Macaca fascicularis: one gene and its partners. The protein of the gene in region 4 interacts with the protein of the main gene of each other region in a pairwise test. Links are inferred from orthologs where the notes say so. Each region holds a gene or a part of one and is shown on either strand. Other genes may lie near its edges.

The links.
Region 1: the proteins of MYOG (region 4) and EIF4E2 interact in binary tests that used the Homo sapiens proteins (3 or more experiments, as listed by UniProt). The two-hybrid records come from large-scale screens. The link is inferred for Macaca fascicularis from reciprocal best matches to the Homo sapiens genes MYOG and EIF4E2.
Region 2: the proteins of MYOG (region 4) and FTL interact in binary tests that used the Homo sapiens proteins (3 or more experiments, as listed by UniProt). The two-hybrid records come from large-scale screens. The link is inferred for Macaca fascicularis from reciprocal best matches to the Homo sapiens genes MYOG and FTL.
Region 3: the proteins of MYOG (region 4) and TXNDC9 interact in binary tests that used the Homo sapiens proteins (3 or more experiments, as listed by UniProt). The two-hybrid records come from large-scale screens. The link is inferred for Macaca fascicularis from reciprocal best matches to the Homo sapiens genes MYOG and TXNDC9.
Region 5: the proteins of MYOG (region 4) and CLUAP1 interact in binary tests that used the Homo sapiens proteins (3 or more experiments, as listed by UniProt). The two-hybrid records come from large-scale screens. The link is inferred for Macaca fascicularis from reciprocal best matches to the Homo sapiens genes MYOG and CLUAP1.

Annotation. Positions count from the first base shown.
Region 1 is NC_088386.1:128,465,949-128,471,046, reverse strand, and holds the start of EIF4E2 (eukaryotic translation initiation factor 4E type 2), read right to left. Parts: upstream 3,225-5,098; 5' UTR 3,174-3,224; coding exon 3,154-3,173; intron 2,832-3,153; exon of another isoform or gene 2,685-2,831; coding exon of another isoform or gene 2,680-2,684; intron 1-2,679. UniProt on the Homo sapiens protein: Recognizes and binds the 7-methylguanosine-containing mRNA cap during an early step in the initiation. Acts as a repressor of translation initiation.
Region 2 is NC_088393.1:56,947,511-56,952,009, reverse strand, and holds FTL (ferritin light chain), read right to left. Parts: upstream 2,824-4,499; 5' UTR 2,622-2,823; coding exon 2,520-2,621; intron 2,359-2,519; coding exon 2,212-2,358; intron 1,843-2,211; coding exon 1,717-1,842; intron 1,222-1,716; coding exon 1,069-1,221; 3' UTR 925-1,068; downstream 1-924. Other genes in the region: apoptosis regulator BAX, read right to left, coding at 3,482-3,901.
Region 3 is NC_088387.1:3,828,787-3,833,867, forward strand, and holds the start of TXNDC9 (thioredoxin domain-containing protein 9), read right to left. Parts: upstream 3,225-5,081; 5' UTR 3,130-3,224; intron 2,997-3,129; exon of another isoform or gene 2,901-2,996; intron 177-2,900; 5' UTR 145-176; coding exon 1-144. Other genes in the region: EIF5B (eukaryotic translation initiation factor 5B), read left to right, coding at 4,464-4,498. UniProt on the Homo sapiens protein: Significantly diminishes the chaperonin TCP1 complex ATPase activity, thus negatively impacts protein folding, including that of actin or tubulin.
Region 4 is NC_088375.1:60,895,889-60,900,942, reverse strand, and holds MYOG (myogenin), read left to right. Parts: upstream 1-1,722; 5' UTR 1,723-1,774; coding exon 1,775-2,245; intron 2,246-3,018; coding exon 3,019-3,100; intron 3,101-3,172; exon of another isoform or gene 3,173-3,343; intron 3,344-3,690; coding exon 3,691-3,839; 3' UTR 3,840-4,614; downstream 4,615-5,054. UniProt on the Homo sapiens protein: Acts as a transcriptional activator that promotes transcription of muscle-specific target genes and plays a role in muscle differentiation, cell cycle exit and muscle atrophy.
Region 5 is NC_088394.1:4,273,873-4,278,789, reverse strand, and holds the start of CLUAP1 (clusterin-associated protein 1), read right to left. Parts: upstream 3,225-4,917; 5' UTR 3,161-3,224; coding exon 3,139-3,160; exon of another isoform or gene 2,514-3,138; intron 1-2,513. UniProt on the Homo sapiens protein: Required for cilia biogenesis. Appears to function within the multiple intraflagellar transport complex B (IFT-B). Key regulator of hedgehog signaling.

The DNA.
Region 1 (5,098 bases), on a different chromosome or scaffold from region 4:
TGGTTTTGCTGCTTATCACTACCAGGAAACAGAGAAAAAACTAACAAAAATAATTGTCAGAGAAGAAACAATGTTCCTGTGATCCCTGGACCACTTCGGATTCCTTTCTAAGACAGTAAATGGGAACCCTAATGGACCTACACCTAGTGCTTTTATTACCTGAGGGTGGAACTAACCAACTACTCTGCCCTCTAAGCCTATATTTAAGGCAAATCTTATAAGCTACTCTTCCCAGCTTCAAGCTGGATTTGAGTCAAGATACCACTCAGCCTGAAAAATCAGTGCTCTGTAAACTCAGGCAGTCAGGTAGCAACTCTGAGGCTGTCCAGACTGAGAGGAACTTTAGTTAGCTTGCTAAGCTTCTGCCCAGGTATTTCCTCACCCTCTGAACTAGACCAATTCCTTGTGGGCAAGACCTTGGTTCAATTCATCTTTATACCCCCACCATCAGACAGTGGCATAAAACAAATTTCCATTTAATGAATGGGTCTATAGAATCAAAGCAATGAGTGCCAAATACGTGGTTTAGACAATAGTTAGGAATGGGCCCAAAGTTAACGATACAGAATAAAAAGCAAATGATGTAGAATACGGACAAAATCAAGTACAGTGGTCTAGATCTGAAAACCATGTTTAACTACGTCAGGACTGCAGTTTTTGTGAAAGCATCTTAGGGTTTTACATATCAATAGGATCACTGGCAATGCAATCTAAGGACTTGATAGGTCTACCCCCTCTCCACAAAAGCAATTATAATCAAAGGTTTCATTCAGAGAAGTTGAGTCCATACAGTAACGGAGATTAGAGCTAATCTTTAATATGAGCCCATTAGATTATATACTACTGTACTCAGCTCCAGCCACTGGACTTCTGGAAGAATTCTGGCAAACTGGAACATGTCCTTAAGAGCAATGTGGTAAAGAGTGCAGATTAGTAAAGAGAGCAATGTGATAAAGACTCCAAATATGCAGCAATGGCCTAAAAACTGCAGAATTTCTGAATGAAAAACAACATAAAAAAATAAAACTAGGGGCAGGAGTGCTGTTTTCAATTGCTAATTTCAAATGAAAGAAAGCTTGTTTTTCTTCTTCCTGCAATGCTAGAGGGTAGATGTTAAAAGATTCTGGCTCAATATAATAGTTAATAATTCAAAGTGATTAAAATGACCCAGGTTCTTCAATCATAGAAGAGCTAAGATAAAAAAGTGGACAAGTTTAATTTTTCTCACAAGGTGCTTGAACCAAGGTTACACAACAAACCTGGGATAGCCCTTCCTTTCCTGTTGTCTTGGGCATTACTTAATCTCAGAGTCTCCTTTTCCTTATCTGTAAAAGGAGATAACAAGATCCCCTTCACAGAGTTGTTAGAGTAGAAATAACATATGAGGCTGGGGGTGGTGGCTCCCGCCTGTAATCTCAGCACTTTGGGAGGCCAAGGTGGGTGGATCTCTTGAGTCCAGGAATTGGACATCAGCCTGGGCAACATGGTGAAACCCTGTCTCTACAAAAAATACAAAAAAATTAGCCAGGCAGGGTGGCACATGCTTGTAGTCCCAGCTACTCTGGAGGCTGAGATGGTAGGATTGCTGGTGCCCGGGAGGTTGAGTGGGCAGTGAGCTGTGATCACACCACTGCACTCCAGCCAGGGTGACACAGTGAGACCCTGGCTCAAAAAACATATATATATGAAAAGTACCTAGCAAGATCCCTGTGGAAGTCCATTATTACCATTCTTACTGCAGACCCCCAAATGATTTAGGTAGGCCTGAGCTAGATGACCCATAAGATGTCTTCTTAGGATGAAATTTGGTTTGTGCAAATCAGTGGAGGAAGGGGTATAAAGGTTCCAGAAAGCTCCACTGAGGCAGGATGTGGATCTGGAACTAGGTGTTGCAGGGTTTACGATAGAGATGAAATGGGACGGCAGTGTGGGAGAGGTTCGTAGAGGGATAGGCTCAGTTAAACCTAAGGATAGAGAAGAGGTCGGGCAAAGACTTTCTCAAGTAGCAGAGACCTCTCAGCAACCAGCAAACATGCCTGAGGACCTACCTGCCTGGAGTGTTGGAAATCCAGTACTCTTTGAATTTGCACAGTACTCTCTGCATTGGAAAAACCCTAATTTCCCATCAAAAGCACAAGATCACAACCTAAACTAATAGTAGTTCCACTTTACGTTTATATCTCAGTAGTTAGCAATGTTTCACAAATATCTTTAAGCATTGCTGAGTGTGATTTGACCCTTATCACACCCCGCTGTGGCAGCAGGGTACTAACCACTAACGTGGTTTGAGAAACAATGGCTCAGAGACTGGGTAACTTTTCCACAGTCAAACAGCTGGTAAGTGGTGAATCTGGGACTACAAATCCAGGCTTTCAGATGAAGAGGCAGATTTACTAGACTACTGGAACAGAGGTAGGAACATATTCTACCTCAAGATACAATCCTTGGAGGGGAATAAGTAAAAATACTTCTGCATTTTCCCTCTGTACCTCCAAACTGTTTGATGCTGAAACTAGAAACCGGAGCGGGCAAGAGAGGGCGACAAGTATACCCAAGTCTTGGCGAGTGTGTTGGAAGACGGGAACGGGAGTGGGAGGAGAAAGAAAGTAGGAAGAGTCTCAGGAAGATGCTAATTCCTAAGCCAGCCTTCCACCGCGTCGAGGGCAGCCGCCACATTACCTCATTGCATCCTCCAAACTCTACGACAAAGGGTGTTACCGTCCCCACTCTGCAGATGAGAAAACTGAGGCTCAGAGGGGAGAGGGAGTGTGTGGGGAAAGCTGGATTCAGAGACAGCGCGGCCAGACTGCGGAAACACCCAAACCGCCGAGGTCCCCACCCCTCCACGTCGTCGGCAATCCGCATCCACCGGGGCGGGGCGTCCGAAAATCTCCCCCTACCGGGCGGCACAGCCACCCCTCCCCCGGGCTCAGCTCTTCGCCCTCGGTTCGGACGGCCCTGGGGTCTCCGGGACCCCGGGATCCATCGCTCCCCAGCCCCCTCCTCCCCGCCAGCCCAGGCCAGGTCCGGCCGCAGCCTGATCCCGGCAGGGAAGCCGGGGCCGCCGGGTTTGCGCCGCCCTAGCCCCAGTGGGGGCGGGCGCGGGGGAACTGTTGGGGGAAGGGGCCCCGGGGGCGGCCACGAGCCACTCACGCGTCGAACTTGTTGTTCATCCTCTCGCCGCGGCTGTCGCCACTGCCTCAGGGAGTGACTTCCGCTCCACCGGGTCCCTCAGCCTTAGGCCCGGGTACTTCCGGTTTTGCGCGGGGCACAGCGGAACGTCCACGCGCAGGCCCGGTTTGGGGGCGTCTATCTCGGGACGCCAGCCCAGGGCGGCTGCGCAGAGGGTTGGCCTCAGCGGCGGAGCTGGCTTCAGGTCTCAGCTTTGTCGCCGTCCAGGTCCTGTGACCTGCCCGCTCTCCTAAGGGAGCGTGTCCAGGCGCCCTCCTGCAGCGCCTCCGAAAAAAGGCAGCACCGCGTCGTTGACAGCGCGGGCTCTGGACTCGCTGCCTGGTAAAAACCCTCCTCCTCCTCCAGTGCCGGACGCACTCTCCGGTATCTCTCTTAACCTTCCCGAGGCTTTCCTTTGGCGGCAGCGCCACTATACTATGGCATACCTCGTTTTATTGCGCTTCGCAGATAGGACTTTCTAAAAACAAATTGAGGGTTTGTGGCAGCCCTGAGTCCAGCAATTGTATTAGCGCCATTTTTCCAACAGCATGTGTTCACTTCGTGTCTCTGTGTTACATTTTGGTAATTCTCAAAATATTTCAAACTTTTCATGATTTCTGTGTCTGTTATGGTGATCTATGATCAGTGATCTTTGATGTTGCTATTGTTTTGGGGTGCCACATACAGCGTCTTTTATAAGACCGCGAACTTAATGTTGTGTGTGTTCTGACTGCTCCACCCACAGATTGTTCCCCATCTTTCTCCCTCTTCTTGGGCCTCTCTATTCCCTGAGACACAACAATATTGAGATTAGGCGAATTAATAACTCTGCAATGGCCTCTAAGTGCTCAAGTGAAAGGAAGAGTCGCACGTCTCTCACTTTAAATCAAAAACTAGAAATGATTAAACTCAGTGAGGAAGGTATGTCAAAAGCCGATATAGGCCGAAGGCTAGGCCTCCTGCGGCAAACAGTTAGCCAAGTTGTAAATGCAAAGGAAAAGTTCTTGAAGGAAGTTAAAAGTGCTACTCCAATGAACACACGAATGATAAGAAAGCGAAACAGCCTTATTGCTGATATGGAGAAAGTTTTAGTGGTCTGGATAGAAGATCAGACCAGCCACAACATTCCCTTAAGCCAAAGCCTAATCCAGAACAAGGCCCTAACTCTCTTCAACTCTATGAAAGCTGAGAGAGGTGTGGAAGCCGCAGAAGAAAAGTTTGAAGCTAGCAGAGGTTGGTTCATGAGGTTTAAGGAAAGAAGCCGTTTCCACAACATAAAAGCACAGGGTGAAGCAGCTAGTGCTGATGTAGAAGCTGCAGCAAGTTATCCAGAAGCTTTGGCTAAGATCATTGATGAAGGTGGCTACACTAAACAACAGATTTTCAATGTAGATGAAACAGCCTTCTGTTGGAAGAAGATGCCATCTAGGACTTTCATAGCTAGAGAGGAGAAGTCAGTGCCTGGCTTCAAAGCTTCAAAGGACAGGCTGACTCTCTTGTTGGGGGCTAATGCAGCTGGTGACTTTAAGTTGAAGCCAATGCTTTGTTTACCATTCTGAAAATCCTAGGGCCCTTAAGAATTATACTAAATCTACTCTACCTGTGCTATATAAATGGAACAGCAAAGCCCGGATGACAGCACATCTGTTTACAGTGTGGTTTACTGAATACTTTAAACCCACTGTTGAGACCTACTGCTCAGAAAAGAAGATTCCTTTCAAAATATTACTGCTCATTGACAATGCCCCTAGTCATCCAAGAGCTCTGATGGAGATATACAAGGAGATTAATGTTGTTTTCATGCCCGCTAACACAACATCCATTCTGCAGCCCATGGATCAAGGAGTAATTTCGACCTTCAAGTCTTATTATTTGAGAAATACGTTTCATAAGGCTCTAGCTGCCATGGATAGAGATGTCTCTGATG
Region 2 (4,499 bases), on a different chromosome or scaffold from region 4:
TCACATCCCATTTCTATGATGAACCCTAAACCCCTTGTCCAGCATTGCTTGGGCATCACGTGTGCCTGGCCGCTCAGCTCCGCCTGTCAGTTCCTCTCAGTGTGCGCCTCACATTGGGATTACTGAAGCTTGGGCCATAATCTGTAAACTCTGGAGCAAAGACCTCAGTGAGCCTCCTGGTTGCCATGCAAGTTGCACAGCAATAGCCTCAATGTGCCCATATAAAGGGCCTAATAATTTCAGCTGCCTCCCAGAATTGAGGTTTGTTTTTTTTTTTTTTTTTTTGAGACAGTCTCACTCCATTGCCCTGTCTGGAGCACATTGGCGCGATATCAGCTCACTGCAACCTCCGTGAGGCAGATATGGTTTTTGGGTTTTTTTTGAGACCAGAGTTTCGCTGTTGTTGCCCAGGCTGGAGCGCAATGACGTTGATCTCAGCTCACCGCAACCTCCGCCTCCCAGGTTCCAGCGATTCTCCTGCCTCAACCTCCTGACTAGCTGGGATTACAGGCATGCACCACCACACCCGGCTAATTTTGTATTTTTAGTAGAGGCGGGGTTTCTCCATGTTGGTCAGGCTGGTCTCGAACTCCTGACATCAGCTGATCGGCCCACCTGGCCTCATAATCACTCGTTAAATAGTGCTGTTTCTGGCTGAAACCGAACAGATCTGTGTCCAGGTACCAACCTAGGTCTTAATTCAACTCCCTGGAGGCTATCTCTGCCATCTGGGAGGGACAGTTAACAGCCAGGCAAGCAGAGAACCCTCAAGTTCAACACTACCCAGATAGCTTCTTGTCTTAGAAGAGATAAGAAAATGGGAGATGGGGCCAACTCCTCTTTCACTGGCATCCCCAACCCAGCCAGAAGCTTTATGAGAACAGATCCCACCTCATCTTCCATACCACACACAAAACCACCAACTGCATCAAAAAGCTTTATTTCCATTTGGTCCAAGGCTTGTTAGGGTCGTTAAGAAAGCTGCCTAGTGGCTGGAGGGAGAGGCTTAGGCAGAAGCCCTATTATTTTGCAAGGGGCCCTTCAGAAGTCGCTGGGCTCAGAAAGCTCTTAGTCGTGCTTGAGAGTGAGCCTTTCGAAGAGATACTCGCCCAGCCCAGCCTCCGGGCCGGCCAGCCTGTTGAGGTTGGTCAGGTGGTCACCCATCTTTTTGATGAGCTTCACTTCCTCATCTAGGAAGTGAGTCTCCAGGAAGTCACAGAGCTGAGAGAGAAGAGGGAGAAATTAGAAACCCGATCCCTGCCGGGCGCGGTGGCTCAAGCCTGTAATCCCAGCACTTTGGGAGGCCGAGACGGGCGGATCACGAGGTCAGGAGATCGAGACCATCCTGGCTAACACGGTGAAACCCAGTCTCTACTTAAAAAAAAAAAAAATACAAAAAACTAGCTGGGCGAGGTGGCGGGTGCCTGTAGTCCCAGCTACTTGGGAGGCTGAGGCAGGAGAATGGCGTGAACCTGGGAGGCGGAGCTTGCAGTGAGTCGAGATCCGGCCACTGCACTCCAGCCTGGGCGACAGAGTGAGACTCCGTCTCAAAAAAAAAAAAAAGGAAACCCGATCCCTGGAAAAGAGGGAGAAAGAGCTGCCAGTTGCAGATTAAAATATGACAGGTGTTAAATGAGGCTCTGAAGGGAATTTGCCCAAAGAGAGCAAAGGCTTGAGGGGTATGGTTGGGTAGCCATGGATGCAGGGGGTACGTACATGGGGATCCGTGTGGGCAGAACCCAGGGCATGAAGATCCAAAAGGGCCTGATTCAGTTTTTTCTCCAGGGCCATGGCGGCTTTCATGGCATCCGGGGTTTTACCCCACTCATCTTCAGCTGGCTTCTATACAGAAGGGAGAAACGGCTTCAGAATACACACACTCGGCACATGGAACTAAACCTACATTTCCCAAGAGTTGGTGGGGGTCAGAGGCCCAGGCCACAAAGACATGTGACAGCTTGTATTTATCACTCTCCGCACCCCGTCCTAGCTCTTACAGCTACACGTCCTTACGTCTACGCAGCAGTGTGGACTGCCGCGTCCTGGGGGCACTGCACGACGTGCGCCTCTATTTCCAGCCGTAAAAGGGCTCACAAGACCGAACTCAATCTCCCCGAAGCCCACGCGACATCTAAGCCCTCAAATCAAGGCTCCTCGCGCGCACGGCCTGCTGGGAGATGTAGTCCGTTACCCTACCCACACACTAGTTACCTTGACGTCCTGAAAAAGAGCGCGGCCGCCACGCTGGTTTTGCATCTTCAGGAGACGCTCGTAGCCCTCGCGCTTCTCCTCGGCCAATTCGCGGAAGAAGTGGCTCACGCCTTCCAGAGCCACATCATCGCGGTCGAAATAGAAGCCCTAAGGAAAGAGATGGAGGGAACAACGCTTAGCGGGAGGCGAGGCCAAGGGGGACTCTGCCCTCTGTTTACTCGACCGGACAAAGAAGGCCGGCGCCTGCGCTGAGGGCCGAACGTGCGCAGCTGGGGGAAATTAGGGCCAGGGGCGTCCTGGGGACTCACCAGAGAGAGGTAGGTGTAGGAGGCCTGCAGGTACATATTGACCAGGCTGTTGACGGCTGCCTCCACGTCGGTGGAATAATTCTGACGAATCTGGGAGCTCATGGTTGGTCGGCAAGACGGAGCTAACCACAAAAACGGTGCTGGCAGGTCCCAGAAGCAGGAGATGGCCGAGAAGATGGTCCCGGAGGTTGCAAGTGGAGAGGAAATCGGAGGGCGGTCGGAGGCTGGAAGAAAGAGTCCCCGGATCTGTTCCGTCCAAACACTGTTGAAGCAAGAGACAGACCCGCGGGACCGCCGAACTGCCAGGGGACGTGGCTAGGGCGGCTTCTTTTATAGTGCGCTGGCCCTCGGAGGCGGGGCGCTCGGAGCGGGCTATCGGCCAATCTGCGGTGGCAGGAGGCGGGGCCGAAGTCCGTGCCTGACCAATCCGGAGCACACAGGAGTCTCAGCCCCCGCCCCAAAGCAGGGGGAAGTCACGCGCCTGCAGCGCGAGTGTGTTGTGAAATGGGGGCTTGCGGGGGTTGGGGCCCTGGGGCCGATTCGAGGAATGGAGGGTTTCGTGGGCGGGGGGGTGGGGGGTGGGGGCTGGGGTTCCTCTGGGAGACTATAGTTTTATGGGAGCATTAAGAGTCCTGTGAACTGATGACCCTGGGGTCCTGGGGGTGCCTCGGGAAAGTAAGTCAGATTCTGGGGTTTTGGAGGGCATGGATTTTTCTGGAATCTTGAGTGGGGGGAGGGGCAACTCAGAGGTGCAGGGAGGACCTGTAGTTGCCTGAGGTTTGTGCTGCGAGATAAGGAGTCTCCGGATCCTTGGGAAGCTTGGAAGGCAGTGAGGTGGTATTTCTGGACCCCTGGGGATCTCTGGGAGACAGAGGGGTGCGAGGACTGGAGTCCTGGGCTTTACAGAGGTGGGAGTTCACGATGCAAACTCTATATTTTGGAGCCCTCCCCCGGGGAGATCTTTAGGTCCTTGAGGTGCTCTGCAAGTTGGAAAGGGCAGTTGTTCTGGAGCCGTGGGGTTCCCCAGTGCGGGAAGCCCAGGAGGAGCATTGTATGAGGTAGGATGACTTCTGGAACCCTGGACAGCCCTCGGAAACCCTCCAAAGACTGGCTGGGACTTTGGGGATACCTTGGAGCTCTTTCAAGGGCCCAGTCGTTTTCTGGGAGTGGAAATGGGGAGGAATGAAATGTCTGTTTCGAGCTTTGCGGTGTCTCTGGGACTGCGTGTCCTGGGGGCTGTTTTGGAGGCAACTCACAGACTCCGAGAATTCTCCTTGGCCCTGAAAACAGTGTCTCCGCAGTTGCCGTCGTGTCTTGCCTGACGTGTGCTCTTTCAGGCCCACAAAGAGAAGCCCTGCGTTGTGGACACACAGTCTGGGGACCTATGGACGAGACGTCTGTCTACAACTAATGCGTATTTTTTTTTTTTTTTTTTGTGACAGAGTCTGGCTCTGTTGCCCAGGCTGGAGTCCAGTGGCCGGATCTCAGCTCACTGCAAGCCCCGCCTCCCAGGTTCACGCCATTCTCCTGCCTCAGCCTCCCGAGTAGCTGGGAGTACAGGCGCCCGCCACCTCGCCCGGCTAATTTTTTTTTGTATTTTAGTAGAGACGGGGTTTCACCGTGTTTGCCAGGATGGTCTCGATCTCCTGACCTCGTGATCCGCCCGTCTCGGCCTCCCAAAGTGCTGGGATTACAGGCTTGAGCCACCGCGCCCGGCCTCTCTAATGCGTATTTTTTAAGCGGACCTGGTCCATGTTGATTTCTGGGAGACGGAGTCGGCGCAAACCTTGACCCTGCTTAAGTGCCCCGATGGAGGTAGCCCGTGCGCTGGGCAGGGAGCTGAAGCCACTGGGGCGTGGGGTGTGAGGTCAGGCCCTGCCCTACAGAGGAGCCGCTCCGAGCAGCCCAGGCAGGGCAGCCCCTGACCGAGGGGATCTGCAGATGCCTCGCCAGGCCGGTATCTGGGGTCCTTGTTGCAGG
Region 3 (5,081 bases), on a different chromosome or scaffold from region 4:
TTTCAGGCGTTCCAATTCATCCTCATCCATCTGATCCAGTTTTTGAATTTCAGAATCCAAATGTTCTTCCACTAGTTTGGTTGTCTGAAGCAGCTGATTCTCCAGGACTTTGGAAAACATGTCAACAGATGCATCAGCTTCCATTCTGCCGAATGGTGCAAAGTTCAGCCTGGGTGCTGGGGAGATTTACAAACTATATTTTAAAAAATGCAAACAATAAGCCAGCTTTTCTCTACCATTTTCTTTTTTTTTTTGAGATGGAGTCTCGCTCTGTCCCCCTGGCTGGAGTGCAGTGGCGCGATCTCGGCTCACTGCAAGCTCCGCCTCCCGGGTTCACGCCATTCTCCTGCCTCAGCCTCCTGAGTAGCTGGGACTACAGGCGCCCACCACCGCGCCCGGCTAATTTTTTTGTATTTTTAGTAGAGACGGGGTTTCACTGTGTTAGCCAGGATGGTCTCAATCTCCTGACCTTGTGATCCGCCCGCCTCGGCCTCCCAGTGCTGGGATTACAGGCGTGAGCCACTGCGCCCGGCTTTCTCTACTGTTTTCAAAAATTCTGGCACGTGTATGTGTACTCTATGGAGTATTCTAAAGACATCCAAGCCCCTGATGTTGGGCTTAAGAATTTTTATGTGTTTTTAAATTTAATTTTCAATAGGTTCTAGTCACACCACTCAAAAACCACTTATAGCAAATTTAGGGTGCTTCTGATTTAGCGTACGTTCTACTACACTAAAGCCAAGGCAAGTCTTTAAGACCATCACCAAACCACAGATAAATGAGTTGTGAAGTTATACCTAGTGATATATACTGATAATCAGTGTTCTTTACCAATGGGTAAGAGAAGTCAGAAACAACTGTCAACAATAGAAAGGTATACCTACTGAGGTTTTACACACACACACATATATATATATATATATATTTAACCTTACTGAAACACACAGAATAGAGTTGAGCAAAACACATTTTTTCATGGCTGCTGCCCAAATGAGCTTCATTTAACTCCTAAGACGTCTTATTACCACTTATGTAAAGAACAGTGCCTGGTGTTCCCTAAGCATTAATGTCCATTCCCGTTCTCCCATTACCTAACAAAAAAAAAAATCTGAGGCCACAAAAATTAATACTGGTTTCCATTTACTGACAGTGTTCTTAACTTTGATGTAAAACACTCCAAATACTTTTTAAAACTTTGGGTTTTTTTTTCCATCATCACTCCTCTGTACAAAGAGTTTCAAAATAGAACTCATTCAGATTAGAAACAAAGACCCATCTCAATTAGAGTCATGCATTACTTAACAATGGGAATACATTCTAGGCTGGGCGCTATGGCTCACGTCCATAATCCCAGCACTTTGGGAGGCCAAGGTGGGCAGATCACTTGAGTTCAGGAGTTTGAGACCAGCCTGGGAACATGATGAAACCCTGTCTCTACTACAAATTGAAAAATTAGCCAGGCCTGGTGGTGTGTGGCGGTAGTCCGAGCTACTAGGGAGGCTGAGGTGGGAGGAGGATAGCTTGAACTTAGGAAGCGGAGGTTGCAGTGGGTTGAGGTCGCACCACTTGCACTCCACCCTGGGCGACAGAGCCAGACCCTGTCTCAAAAAACAAAACCCAAAAACCCACAAAAAATGGGAATACATTCTGAGAAATGTGTCATTAGGTGATTCTGATACTGTTTCAAACATTATAGACTGTATTTACACAAACCCAGATGGTACAGCCTGCTACACACCTCGGCTATACCATACAGCCTATTACTCCTAGTACAAATCTGTACAGCATGTTACTGTATTGAATACTGCAGGCAACTGTAACATAATGGCATTTACGTATCTAAACACAGAAAAGGTACAATAAATACAGTATTATAATCTCATAAAACTGAAATGTCCTTATGTGGCACATGACTACATATTTTTAAAACAATGGAGTATTTTGTACGAGAAATTTTATACCAACAATTAGACGGCAATTTTATGTGTATCTCAGGATTATTACTGCAGAAATGATTTATAATTTGGCTATTAAAGCAGGAGACTGTTGCATGTCAATAAACTATGATACATTTGCAAATAATACCTAAGCACCCCAAACTTGATAATAAACTGTGAATTCATTCACTCAGCTTCTGACACAGATCCTGACCCACACGGGCCCTCTATCAACGTTGAGCTGAAGAGAAATATTCTTGCAAACTTCAGTTCTGATTCCTTTTTCTTTACAGGAAAAGCATTTGAAAAGGATACTTGATTTCATCTTTGTATCTCCATAGAACACAGCAGGTACTCAATACACATGTATTTAACCTTGAATGAACACGTGCCTAACTTCCATTCAAATTACTACACTGCTAAGTTTCAAAAGTATTTGAGTTTAAAAAAACAAATTGTAAGCTCCTCGTGAGTGCTATAAAATTGGAAAGGTGCTGTATTTCAAACACAGCAAAGATTTCCACACTCCCTACCACCCAAGAAAAATGTCAGTAGTACTGTGACCCTCGGTGAGGAAGCTGGAAGGAGAAAATAAGATACTGAATTGCACGTTGGAAGCTGTGCTCCAGGGATAAGCACAGAGAATGCTTATCCCTGCAATTTTATAGGATGAGGCCAGAATTTAATTATGGGATAACTGGAAACAGATGCGATTAAGAAGCGCTATTCTGGGTGTAGGTGTTGGTGGTTAGAGCATTGAGAACGGGGTAAAGAGACGATGCAATCCCCCGTTAGCTTTTCATCCTTCAAATCACAGCCTCTGATTCTTCCTTTTTACAGCTCCGCAGGAACGGTGGGACGGGACACCGCGCGTCCTCAAATTCCCTAGTCATTTCCTGGACACCCTTACAGGTATCCACCAAAACAATCAAGGGGCCTGGTCCTTAACCGAACCCCAGGTACCTCCCGAGTGGCATCCCGGCCACTCCCTGAGCCCGGGGAGACACAGGAAGGCACAGTCCCGGCTGCCTCAACTTCGACGCCTCCTGGTGCGCATGCGCAAGAGCCTCCACCAGGACCCCGACACCGGTGCTGGGGCGGCGCCCCTCCTCCGCTCCGGATGTGGAGCAGTAACATGTTCACCAGCACGCGGACGTGGTAGTCGGATTTTTCTCACTACCCTCTGCCTCACCTGAGCTCTCGGTGACGTCTGAGAAGTGAGACAGCAGCAGTTTCAAAAGAGAGGTCCACTCCGGCTTTTGCCTTGCAGTAGCTGCCGGCGGCTGCAAACCGGCCGTCACATCAGCCTCCCTATTGGCTGCGGACCTCTCGCGATATCACCTTGGACGCCAGAGGAAGGGGCGGGCGGGCGGCTGCCGGACAATCCTGCGCGTGCGCCTCCCGCCCAGCAGCCCGTAACCGGAGGTGTCTGACCCTTGCTTTCCTCCCGGTACACGGCCGAACTGGAAGGCCGCAAGGCATGGTGGGAGTTGCAGTTTCTTAGTGCGCAGGCTGGCGTGGCCGGACTTTTTCTGGACCGTGCTTCGGTACTCACGGTCCAGTGCGCGAGACTGGAAATGAGACAGCTGTGCTCTCGCTCAGCAGTGACGCCTGAACTGCGTTACCATTCTGTTAGTGTTGAATAAACATTTTTCTTTTTTTTTGTTTTGTGTTTTGTTTTCTTTTAACATTTTTCTTCTTCTTAAAGTCGAGGCATAAACATATACAGCACGATTAACTTTTCCATAGTTAAAACCCAAAATATCACCGGCCATATCCAGATACAGAACATTTTCCACCACCCCTGTAGGTTCCCTCTTGACTCTTCTAAACACAGGAATGTTTAGAACTCGCCCTCGCTTTGAGGGTAAAGATGAAGACCTATGTTAGGGAATTGATCGGGTGTGTCCTGTTCTCTGTTTTATTCAGTGACTGTACATAATGCATAACGCACGGATGTTACTGAGAGGTCCCTATTTTGTCCTGGATTTACCTCTCTCGCAAACCCCAGAGGACTCATTATTAGTTAGTTGTGGTTCTTTACTGAACTTCGTGCGGCTGAGAATACAAAGATATAAAGGGAAGCCCAAAGCCTACTCCTGAACCGAAGCGTGCGTTCCCCGTTGGGAGAGGGCTGAGGTGGGGAATTGACAGCTGCATTGTCCACCTCCGGGTTCTAGAACCTGGAAACCGCGCGGGCGTCGGCTCGCGGCGGACGCTTGCGGGCAGGGGGCGCTCGGGCTCCTGCCTGGCCGGCGGGTCAACCGGAGACGCTCTACCCGAAGCGCAGCTCTCGATGAGCCGCGCCCTGCGTCCTCACGCCGAGGCGGCGGGGCGATGCGCTTGCGCACTGAGAACTCACACCATATGTGCCCTGTTCCAGTGCGCGGGTCTGTGGAGAGCCGGGTGCGAGCGGCGGCAGTCCGGGGGGAAAGGAGCTGAGCGGAGACCAAAGTCAGCTGGGAGACAGTGGGTCTGTGAGAGAACGGATAGAGGAGCTGGGGCCACGAGCGCCGTTGACAAGCAATGGGGAAGAAACAGAAAAACAAGAACGAAGACAGGTAGCTAGGGGTTGGGTCCGTACGGCGGCAGCCGCGGTGGCTCAGTGGGGTGTGCGGGTCTCGCCGGGCGCGGAGTTGGACCGGGGTCTGGGCTCGCGACGAGCCTCGCGGGGTACCAGGCCTGGGCCCAGAGTGGGCGACGCGGGCCCAAGCCCCCGGGCCGGGTGGGCACGTAGGGCCTCGACGGCCGGCGGGTCCTCCCAGTCGAGCCTCGGTCCCCCGGCTACCCCTTCCCCGTCCTGAGGAGCGGGGCAGTCATTTCAGGGTTCCTGGCCGCGCGGGGGGAGTCAGGCGGCTTCGCCAGCGTGGCCCAGGCCAGTGTGAGTTTTTTTCCGCGCTACTCTTGGCGAGGGTGGGGAAGTTCTTTTTATGCCTCTTGTACCTGTGAGTAGTTGGGAGAGAAGGGAGCCTGAGTGTGATGTACGGCCGGGTTTCTCTACTCGGGGTCTCAGGTCCATTAGAGTTGTGGGGAGGTGTTTAGCAGTTCGCTGTCTCTCAACTTAATCTGATTTGGATACAGTTCTCATTTATTTAAGGGCTGATTGTCCAGCCCTCATGCTTTTCGCTTTCCTTCTTCCGGCCT
Region 4 (5,054 bases):
GGCTCTTTTATTGTTCAGCTATGTTCCCTCCTTCCCCCCGTTTCCTATCCCAAAAGGACATCAGAATTCTCCTGGCTCCCTGCTGTGAACAATGAGAGGAAGGAACACTGGTTCTTCACATGCTGCACAGATCTCATCTCCCTTGTAATCTCCCCTGAGTCCCCAGCAGAGTTCCCCTTCCTCTCATTGTCCTTGCCACCGGCTTGAACTTGTCATTTTGATCTGTCATAGGATGAGGAGCAGGACAGATCAGACTTGGTCTATGGGGCCTAAGGGAAAAAACTAGGAACAAAGGGTAAAAGATAGAGGGAGAAGATTGCAGCTCAAAGCTGCACGTCAATGGAACGGGCTGTCTCCTGACGTGAGCAGAAGCTGAACAGTGGTTGCCTGGGAGGAGATTCGGTCATCAGGGGCTAGGTAGAAAGAGGTGACCACCATTGTCTACCAGATGGTAAGGTCAAGGGCAGGGACCCTGTCTGGGGTGTCCCTATAATCCCCAGCCCTAAGACTGAGCCTTGTTCACTGCTGGTGTCTGAGGTCTGCCCACTGCATTGGAAAGAATTTGTCCTCTCAGACCCTGAGGCACCTACTGAGAGGTGACCATGGCCTGAGAGGCCCGAAGATTATACAGTCCCTGCTCCACCTGACATTTGAGACCTGCATGATACATGTAAAATTGATGGCTCAGATGAAGAGGCAGAACAACCAAGCCCGATGGCCAAGGAGAGAAGAGATTTAAACTGAGTTTGAAGGGCTCTGTTTTTTCTCCTTTTTCACCCCCATCCACAGTAATGAGTCAGGAAAATTCTGGTGTTGGAAAAAGAGTTGAGGAGGTAACATAGAAGGACAGATCAATGGTCCGGAGTGAGACAGGGAGGAGACAGGGAGCTTAGTACATCTTGACCTTGCGGCTCTGGGGAAGGTGGCACGTGTAAGCTGTAAATTCTAATCTCTGCTCTGACCACGGCCGCTGTATTAAAGAGAAAATTTCTCTTGACCCCTGCCAAGAAAACCAAAACCCAAATAATTTCTCTTGCCTCAACTTACCCCCCATCACATGAGACCTAAGAGAACATACAGGTCAGAGCTGCTTGGGAACCCCAAAAGTGGAATCTATTAGCTGCTCTGAGTCTTGATCCCTTTTATCCCCGGATACTGAGTGCCCATGAATGCCCAGAATCTGAAGCAGTCCCATTCTTTCGGGAGGGAGGTCTTTAAGAGTCTCATCGACTGATGTAGTGTGGTTAAGGTGCTGTCAGGAAGCAGGGAGATGGATAAGTTGGCTCTTAAGGCCTCTTCCAGCCTAAGCCTACCCTTCCTTGTTCCCTCCTCCCCCTACACCCACCAGCTTCTTGGGGACTAGCAAGGAGAGAGCAGGCAGGCCGCCCAGCTAGGAGTAATTGAAAGGAGCAGATGAGAGGGGAATGTGTCCTCCCCCAATGCCCCTGCCCCACAGGGGCTGCTGAGAAATGAAAACTAATCAAATTACACCCGACGGCCTCCCGACCCGTGCACAGGAGCCCGCCTGGGCCAGGGACAGGCTGGCTGGGTGGGGTGGGGGCCATGGGGGAGAGAGAAGGGGAATCACATCTAATCCACTGTAAACGTCTTGATGTGCAGCAACAGCTTAGAGGGGGCTCAGGTTTCTGTGGCGTTGGCTATATTTATCTCTGGTTCCATGCCAGCGGGGAGGGTTTAAATGGCACCCAGCAGTTGGCGTGAGGGGCTGCAGGAGCTTGGGGTCTGGTGGCAGGAACAAGCCTTTTCTGACCCCATGGAGCTGTATGAGACATCCCCCTACTTCTACCAGGAACCCCGCTTCTATGACGGGGAAAACTACCTGCCTGTCCACCTCCAGGGCTTCGAGCCACCAGGCTATGAGCGGACGGAGCTCACCCTGAGCCCCGAGACCCCAGGGCCCCTCGAAGACAAGGGGCTGGGCACCCCCGAGCACTGTCCGGGCCAGTGCCTTCCGTGGGCGTGTAAGGTGTGTAAGAGGAAGTCGGTGTCCGTGGACCGGCGGCGGGCGGCCACACTGAGGGAGAAGCGCAGGCTCAAGAAGGTGAATGAGGCCTTCGAGGCCCTGAAGAGGAGCACCCTGCTCAACCCCAACCAGCGGCTGCCCAAGGTGGAGATCCTGCGCAGCGCCATCCAATACATCGAGCGCCTCCAGACCCTGCTCAGCTCCCTCAACCAGGAGGAGCGTGACCTCCGCTACCGGGGCGGGGGTGGGCCCCAGCCAGGGGTAAGTGGCCATCCCGTCCCCCTGCCCCAGGGGGAGGGGGCCAGAGGGAGGCACCTGGACAGCCTCAAGACCCCAAGAGGGGCTCAGAGGGTTGGAGCAGGTGCCAGACAGGGTCGAGGGGCTTCAGGAGCCCTTCCCTGGTCAGAGCTGGGCTATCCAGCTGACCCCCTGTGTCCTGTGTTCTTTCCAGAGGAGATAGAGGCAGTGAGGAGGAAGTGCAGAAAGGGTGGGGGTGGGGAACACAGGACTGAAGAAAGGATCAGGAGCAAGGCCACAGTCAGCCCGGGTAAGGGTGAGGATTAATCGCAGAGCCTGAGTCAGAGCCTAAAAAGCCAGGCCAAGTTCACCAGAGAAGGCTGCTTTGCCCCCTGCCCCACCCCCATCCTGGGTGTGGCTGAGCAGAGAGAAAACCCACTCAGTCTCATTGGAACTCCAGCAGGCCTGCACAGAGTGACCTTCACTGGGCCAGAAAATCTGTCTCCATCACCCTTATCACCAGAGTCAGGAGAACCAGGGACCTTTAACCTGGGGTCCTGTGAGGGCAGAACCACCACTCAGGATGGAAGCCAAGAAGGCCTGGAAGCAGGGCCTCTAGGACATGAGAGGAGCTGGTTACTAAGATTCTGGGGTTGGGGATGGCCTGGGCTGGAAGGCCACAGCCTGTGGCCCACCCTCCAACCCCACCACAGGTGCTTCTGCCCACTGGGACTAGGCAGAGAGACACATCAAAGAACGGCTGTGCCCCGACCTTGGGCCTTCGCCCTGTCTTGCAGGTGCCCAGCGAATGCAGCTCTCACAGCGCCTCCTGCAGTCCAGAGTGGGGCAGCGCACTGGAGTTCGGCGCCAACCCCGGGGGTAAGTGAGGCTTGACCCTGGTAACCTTGACTCCAATCCCTCAGTCCCTCCCTGGGCGTTCTTCCCTCTTACCTTATTCCTTGCTCCGGTCCTCTTCCCTTGGGTCTCTCCAGGGACCTGCTGACTCCAGGACCCAAAGGGTGGGCTGGGAGGTTCTGTGTAGCCCTGCAGTCTTGACCAGCAAAGGAGTGATAGTGGCTCCTGCAGCTCCCCAGCTGATGCCTGGTGGTTGACCTTCTCCACAGAGAGGACAATGTCCCTGCCCCAGGGGTCTCTGCGAAGTGCTGAGTCAGTGCTGCAAAACCGGGCCGAGCAAAGGGCAGGTCCAGTCTCTGGGGAGCTCCATCCTGCTCCAACTTGAGTGACTGCTTCCAAACCCTACCTCACTAGGGGAGTTCAGAGAAGAGGCGCGCGCGCGCACACACACACACACACACACACACACACACACACACACACAGCATGGGGAAAGGCAGGGACTAGGGAGTAGAACTCCGGAGCTTTATCCCCCATCTGTCCTGGAAAACCTGTGTCACCCCAAGGGTCCCATCCTCTATTCTGGGCCTCAAGAACCCCCACTCCTCACCCAGGTACCACCTTCCCACCTCCCCTTACAGATCATCTGCTCACGGCTGACCCTACAGATGCCCACAACCTGCACTCCCTCACCTCCATCGTGGACAGCATCACAGTGGAAGATGTGTCTGTGGCCTTCCCAGATGAAACCATGCCCAACTGAGATTGTCTGCCAAGCCAGGCATCCTTGCAAGCCCCCCAAGCTGACCACAGATGCCACTGCTTCTGTAGCAGGGGCCTCCTAAGCCAGGCTGCCCTGATGCTAGGAAGCCAGCTCTGGGGTGCCATAGGCCAGACTATCCCCTTCCTCATCCATGTAAGGTTAACCCACCCCCCAGCAAGGTACTGGATGCCCTCATTCAGCTGCCTCCTTAGAGGACAGGGCATCCCCTTTCCAGGAAGGTAAAGCAGGGGACCAGAGCGCCCCCTCATGTATGCCCCAGTTCAGGGGGCAAACTCAGGAGTTTCCTTTTTATCATAACATGGCCTCTAATTCCACCCCCTAAGTGAAACAGTTTGAGAGACACAGACAGTGTCCTGACCTGGACAAGCTGTGCACGTCTCCTGTTCTGGTCTCTTCCCGATGCCAGTGGCTGGGCTGGGCCTGCCCTGAATTGAGAGAAAAGAAAGGGAGAGAAACAATCCTCTGTTCCCAAGTCCCTGGGGGGCCAAACTTTTGCAGTGAATATTGGGAACCTTCCAGTGGTTTTATGTTTTGTTTTGTTTTGTGTGTTGTTTGTAAAGCTGCCATCTGACCAAGGTCTCCTGTGCTGAAGTTGCCGGGGACAGGCAGGGAAAGGGGGTTGGGGGCTCTTGGGGGTGATTTCTTTTGTTAACTAAGCATCGTGTGGTTTTGCCATTGTTTTGTATTTTTTTTTTTTTTTTTGCTAACTTATTTGGATTTCCTTTTTTAAAAAATGAATAAAGACTGGTTGCCAGAAGAGTGTCGGTGATGATGCAGAGGGAGGGAAATGACTGACAGCCCTGCCCTCTCCCACTGAGCAGTCCAGACACACCCTAGTGGGCGGGGCTCCACAGCGCTGAGGGCCTCATCTTGCTGGTGGTCACTAGGCACTGGGGACCCCGGCTCTTTTCACCATGAGGAAGGAAGTCGAGCATGTCTAGACCTCAGTCTAGGTGGAGACCAGATTCCACAGACATCCTTGTGGGACACGGAGGACAACTGGCTAGGACTATACTTCACAGCCATTGCTCACAGGCTGCTGTGCTCTGCGTCATGTCCCAACAGGTCCTCCGGTTTCAGTTAACTGAGCAATTCGTGAGCCCAGTGCTCAGCCTACAGCCAGGGTGCAGAGCTAGAAGTTGTGGTTTCCCTTCCCTAGTCCCCACCTCTGCCCTGGTGTCACAATACCAGGAG
Region 5 (4,917 bases), on a different chromosome or scaffold from region 4:
TTCTTGAAGATCCATGTTCAAAATGGTCCATCAGTGTTCACAAATAACCTACCCCGGTACTGGAAGTCAGGTCAGACTTCGCAAGACAATGGAAGAAAAAGTGTGAGCACAGGAAACAGCAAAGTCACAAAAGGGACTCTGTAACTGTTTTCTGGGAAATGTGAATATGGAGATTAAAAAAAAAATAGCTGGGTGTGGTGGTGCATGCCTGTGGTCCCAGTTATTCAGCAGGCTGAGGTGTGAGGATCACCTGAGCCCAGGAGGTTGCAGTGAGCTGAGATCATGTGACTGCACTTCAGCCTGGGTAACAGAGTGAGACCCTGTCTCAGAAAGAAAAACAAAAAAAGGCCAGGCGCGGGTGGTTCATGCCTGTAATCTCAGCACTTTGGGAGCCGAGGAGGGTAGATCACCTGAGGTCAGGAGTTCAAGACCAGCCTGGCTAAAATGGTGAAACCCCACCTCTACTAAAAATACAAAAGTTGCTGGGCACCGTGGCTCACGCCTGTAATCCCAGCACTTTGGGAGGCCGAGGCGGGCGGATCATGAGGTCAGGAGATCGAGACCGTCCTGGCTACCACGGTGAAACCCCGTCTCTACTAAAAATACAAAAAAATTAGTCAGGTGTGGTGGCAGGCACCTGTAGTCCCAGCTACTCGGGAGGCTGAGGCAGGAGAATGGCGTGAACCCGGGAGGCGGAGCTTGTAGTGAGCCGAGATTGCATCACTGCACTCCAGCCTGGGCGACAGAGCAAGATTCCATCTCAAAAATAAATAAATAAATAAAAACAAAAATACAAAAGTTAGGTGGGCGTGGTGGCGGGCACCTATAATTCCAGATATTGAAGAGACTGGGGCAGGAGAATCACTTGAACCTGGGAGGCAGAAGTTGCAGTGAGCCAAGATCACACCATTGCACTCCAGTCTGGGCAAGAGAACAGCCTTTCCTTCACACAGTAAGGCACTGCCTAAATACTTCTGACTACTAGGTACTAGTCAAGTTCTGTTAATGTTGCAGTGTTATTGTCAAAATAGAGACTAATTTGAGTAAGATCCTTACCATACAACGCACAACTGCAGAGCATTAATTTAAGGTCAAAATATTTTGAAATCTCCGTGTATGGTCTTCCCAACAAAACCCCATTCTACGTCCCCTGGCAGGGTGCTGGCCTCTCTAAAAACTATGTGGGAGGAGACACTCATCCTGTATGATGTGTGGCCACCAAAAACCTTCAAACTCCAGAGGACAGGATTCACACTCTGGTGCTCAGTGGCTGCATGAATAAAAGGTAATGCGTTTTCCTAGATATTTTTTTTTTTTTTTTTTTTTTTTGAGACGGAGTCTCGCTCTGTCGCCCAGGCTGGAGTGCAGTGGCGCGATCTCGGCTCACTGCAAGCTCCGCCTCCCGGATTCACGCCATTCTCCTGCCTCAGCCTCCCGAGTAGCTGGGACTACAGGCGCCCACAACCGCGCCCGGCTAATTTTTTGTATTTTTAGTAGAGACGGGGTTTCACCGTGGTCTCGATCTCCTGACCTTGTGATCCGCCCGCCTTGGCCTCCCAAAGTGCTGGGATTACAGGTGTGAGCCACCGCGCCCGGCCTCCTAGATATTTTTATATTGTAGAAAAGAGCAATTCATAACCAAAGGAGTAATCTCTAATGCTAAAATTTCAGGCACCAGCAATTTGCTGAGAAAATTGACTCTTTAAGAGACCCCTAAGATCACACCAAATTGGCAATCATCTACTATTCCTTTTTTTTTTTTTTAAAGACAGTTCCACTCTGTCGCCCAGGATGGAGAGCAGTGGTATGATCTCAGCTCACTGCAACTTCTGCCTCCAGGGATCAAGCAATTCTCCTGCCTCAGCTTCCCGAGTAGCTGGGACCACAGGTGTGCGCCACCATGCCCTAATTTTTTGAATTTTTAGCAAAGGCGGGGTTTCACCATGTTGGCCAGGCTAGTCTTGAATTCCTGAACTTCAGTGATCCGCCTGCCTCAGTCTTCCAAAGTGCTGGGATTACAGGCGTGAGCCACTGTGCCCCGTCGTAACCAACACTCTTAGCCTCATTCTTCCACTTCCCCACCCTCTTAGCAAAGGAATTCGAGCTCCCTTCTCCTCACCAGCCCTGCAGAAAGGATGCAGACGGAGTTCAGGAGGTCTGGAGTTCAGGCAACCTGAATTCAATCCCCAGTGCCACCTCCTATCGCCTGTGTCACCTGCTCAAGTTACCTGACCTCTCTGTGCCCGTTTCCTCACTTCCAGATGCAGGCGGTACAGTTGTTCAGATGATTAAAATGAAATGCACATAACACAGAGTGGGCCCTGGCACATCGTTAAAACTCAAAAAATGTTAGCTGCAATGATCATCACCCAGCCCCTCTCCTCGGTTTCGCTGCTGTTTTTTTGTTTTGGTTTGGTTTGGGGTTTTTTGTTTTTGTTTGTTCGTTTGTTGCTTGAGATGGAGTTTCGCTCTTGTCCCCCAGGCTGGAGTGCAATGGTCCGATCTCGACTCACCGCAACCTCCTCCTCCCGGGTTCAAGCGATTCTCCTGCTTCAGCCTCCCGAGTAGCTGGGATTACAGGCGCCCGCCACCACCCCCCGGCTAATTTTGTAATTTTAGTAGAGACGGGGTTTCTTCATGTTGGTCAGGCTGGTCTCGAACTCCCGACCTCAGGTGATTCGCCCGCCCCGGCCTCCCAAAGTGCTGAGATTACAGGCGTGAGCCACCAAGCCCGGTTTTCTAAGAGCTAAGCAAACCCAACTCAAAAAATTGTCTCTAAATTATCCATGCATTTTCCAATACTGTAGCTAACAGCGGCATGCAGCTACACAAATAGAAATGAGTTACACTTAAAATTTCAGTTATTCATCTGCACTAGCCACATTTCGAGCGCTTTGAGCCAAACGCGGCCAGTGGCAGATAAAGAACTTTACATCCTCGCTAGAAATGGCCTAAGAAGGGCCTGGGGCACTGGGCGGGGTTGCAGCCGCGGGTCAGAGGCGTTCCTTGAGGCGCAGAGGCCCGAAAGGAGGCTCTGGCAGCGCAAACCTCAGGGGTCGCCTACATAGGGGACCCGGCAGGCGGGAGACCTGACTCTCTGGAAGACCTGCAGGTCACAGGGGCGCGGGGCTGCCTTACTGCGGAGGTCGCGGAAAGACATGACGCTCAGGTCCCCAGAAGCCCAGGGTGGCAGCTGCTCGCCCCTCAGCGCTCACAGGCCCAGCGCTCGCCGGTCTCTATGGCAACCAAAGGACCCTTGGACGGCGCACGGTCAGGGACAAATAAGAAGGGAAGCGAAGGCGCCGCGGTTCGTGCACGCGTACAGGGAGAGCGGGCGGGCAGAGGGCGCTCCTGAGACGTCTAGGGCAGAGGGCGTGGTGATCCCAGCTTCTATGGGGGCTGCAAGCTCCCCGGCTTCTGGGCCTGTGTTTAAACGCTTTGCGGACGTTTCGCGCTGGCTGACAGACTCTAAGTACCTACTATGTGCTTGACATTGCGCTAGGCGCTTCCCATAATGCTTATTTCCCCCTCATTTCTATAAAGAATGCACGATACTCGGCCGGGCGCGATGGCTCACGCCCATAATCCCAGCACTTTGGGATGCCGAGGCGGGCTGACACTTCAGGTCAGGAGTTAGAGACCAACCTGGCCAACATGGCGAAACCCCCGTCTCTACCAAAAAATACAAAAATTAGCCAAGTGTGTGGCGCACACCTGTAATCCCAGCTACTCGGGAGGCTGAGGCAGAAGAATTACTTGAACCCGGGAGGTGGAGGTTGCAGTGAGCCGAGATCACGCCACTGCACTCCACTCCGGCCTGGCGACAGAACGAGACTCTGTCTCAAAAAAAAAAAAAAACAAAGAATGCACTATACTTAGGAAGCCGGCCTTCCCGGGTCCAAGGCACAGCGCGCTCGCCGTCGGAATCCGGTTGTGGAGCGGAGGACGGGAGCACTATGGGCGGCCAGAGGCAGGCCAGGCCCGGGTCTCGCGCACGCGCAGACGGCTCGGGCTTCTCAACAGGCCAGAAAGCTGCCCACAGCCGCGCGAGCCGTACGGGTCAAGGAAGCCCCGGCGTCTGCATGAGGGCGCCAGCAGGCGGCCGGAAAGGGCCCCCCCCCCATGTGTGAACTGGGGAGATACCCCGACAGGCGTGGCACAGCAGCCGGGTTTTGTAAGGTAGCTTGAGCAGGAACAAGGAAACAGCGTAGTGCACAAAGCGATTGGTTGGCATCAGGTTATTTCAGATGCGTTTCTTTGTATGGGTTAAAGGAGAGGGGGCTTCCTTATGCCAGCCTAGGTGGACAGGGCCCCTTCTGTTGGTTGCAGTGAATCTTTTGTGTTTTGGCACACTGGCCTGTCTCTAAGTTCGCTTTGATTACGTGGCACCTTGCACTAGCGGTTCCATTCTGGTTTGGTCTGGTCCGTTGGTACCTTGTGCAGGAGCTTGCTCCAAAACAATGGTCTCCCATAAATGTTACTTCACGTGTTATTAAGAAAAACAAAAGGTAAGCCACAGTCTAGAAGAAAATATTCACAAAACACATATATGATAAAGAAACGTGTATTCAGAATGTATAAAGAACTCTCAACACTCAATAAGAAACAGTCTAGAGAATGGAGAAAACATTTTAAAAGATGCTTCACAAGGCCGGGTGCGGTGGCTCACATCTGTAATCCCAGCACTTTGGGAGGCTGAGGCGGGTGGATCACCTGAGGTCAGAAGTTCAAGAGCAGCCTGGTCCACATGGTGAAACCCCATCGCTACTAAATATACAAAAATTAGCCAGACGTGGTGGCAGTCGCCTGTAATCTCAGCTACTCAAGAGGCTGAGGCAGGAGAATTGCTTGAAACCGGGGGTGGAGGTTGCAGTGAGCCGAGATCGCACCATTGAGCTCCAGCCTGGGCAACAAGAG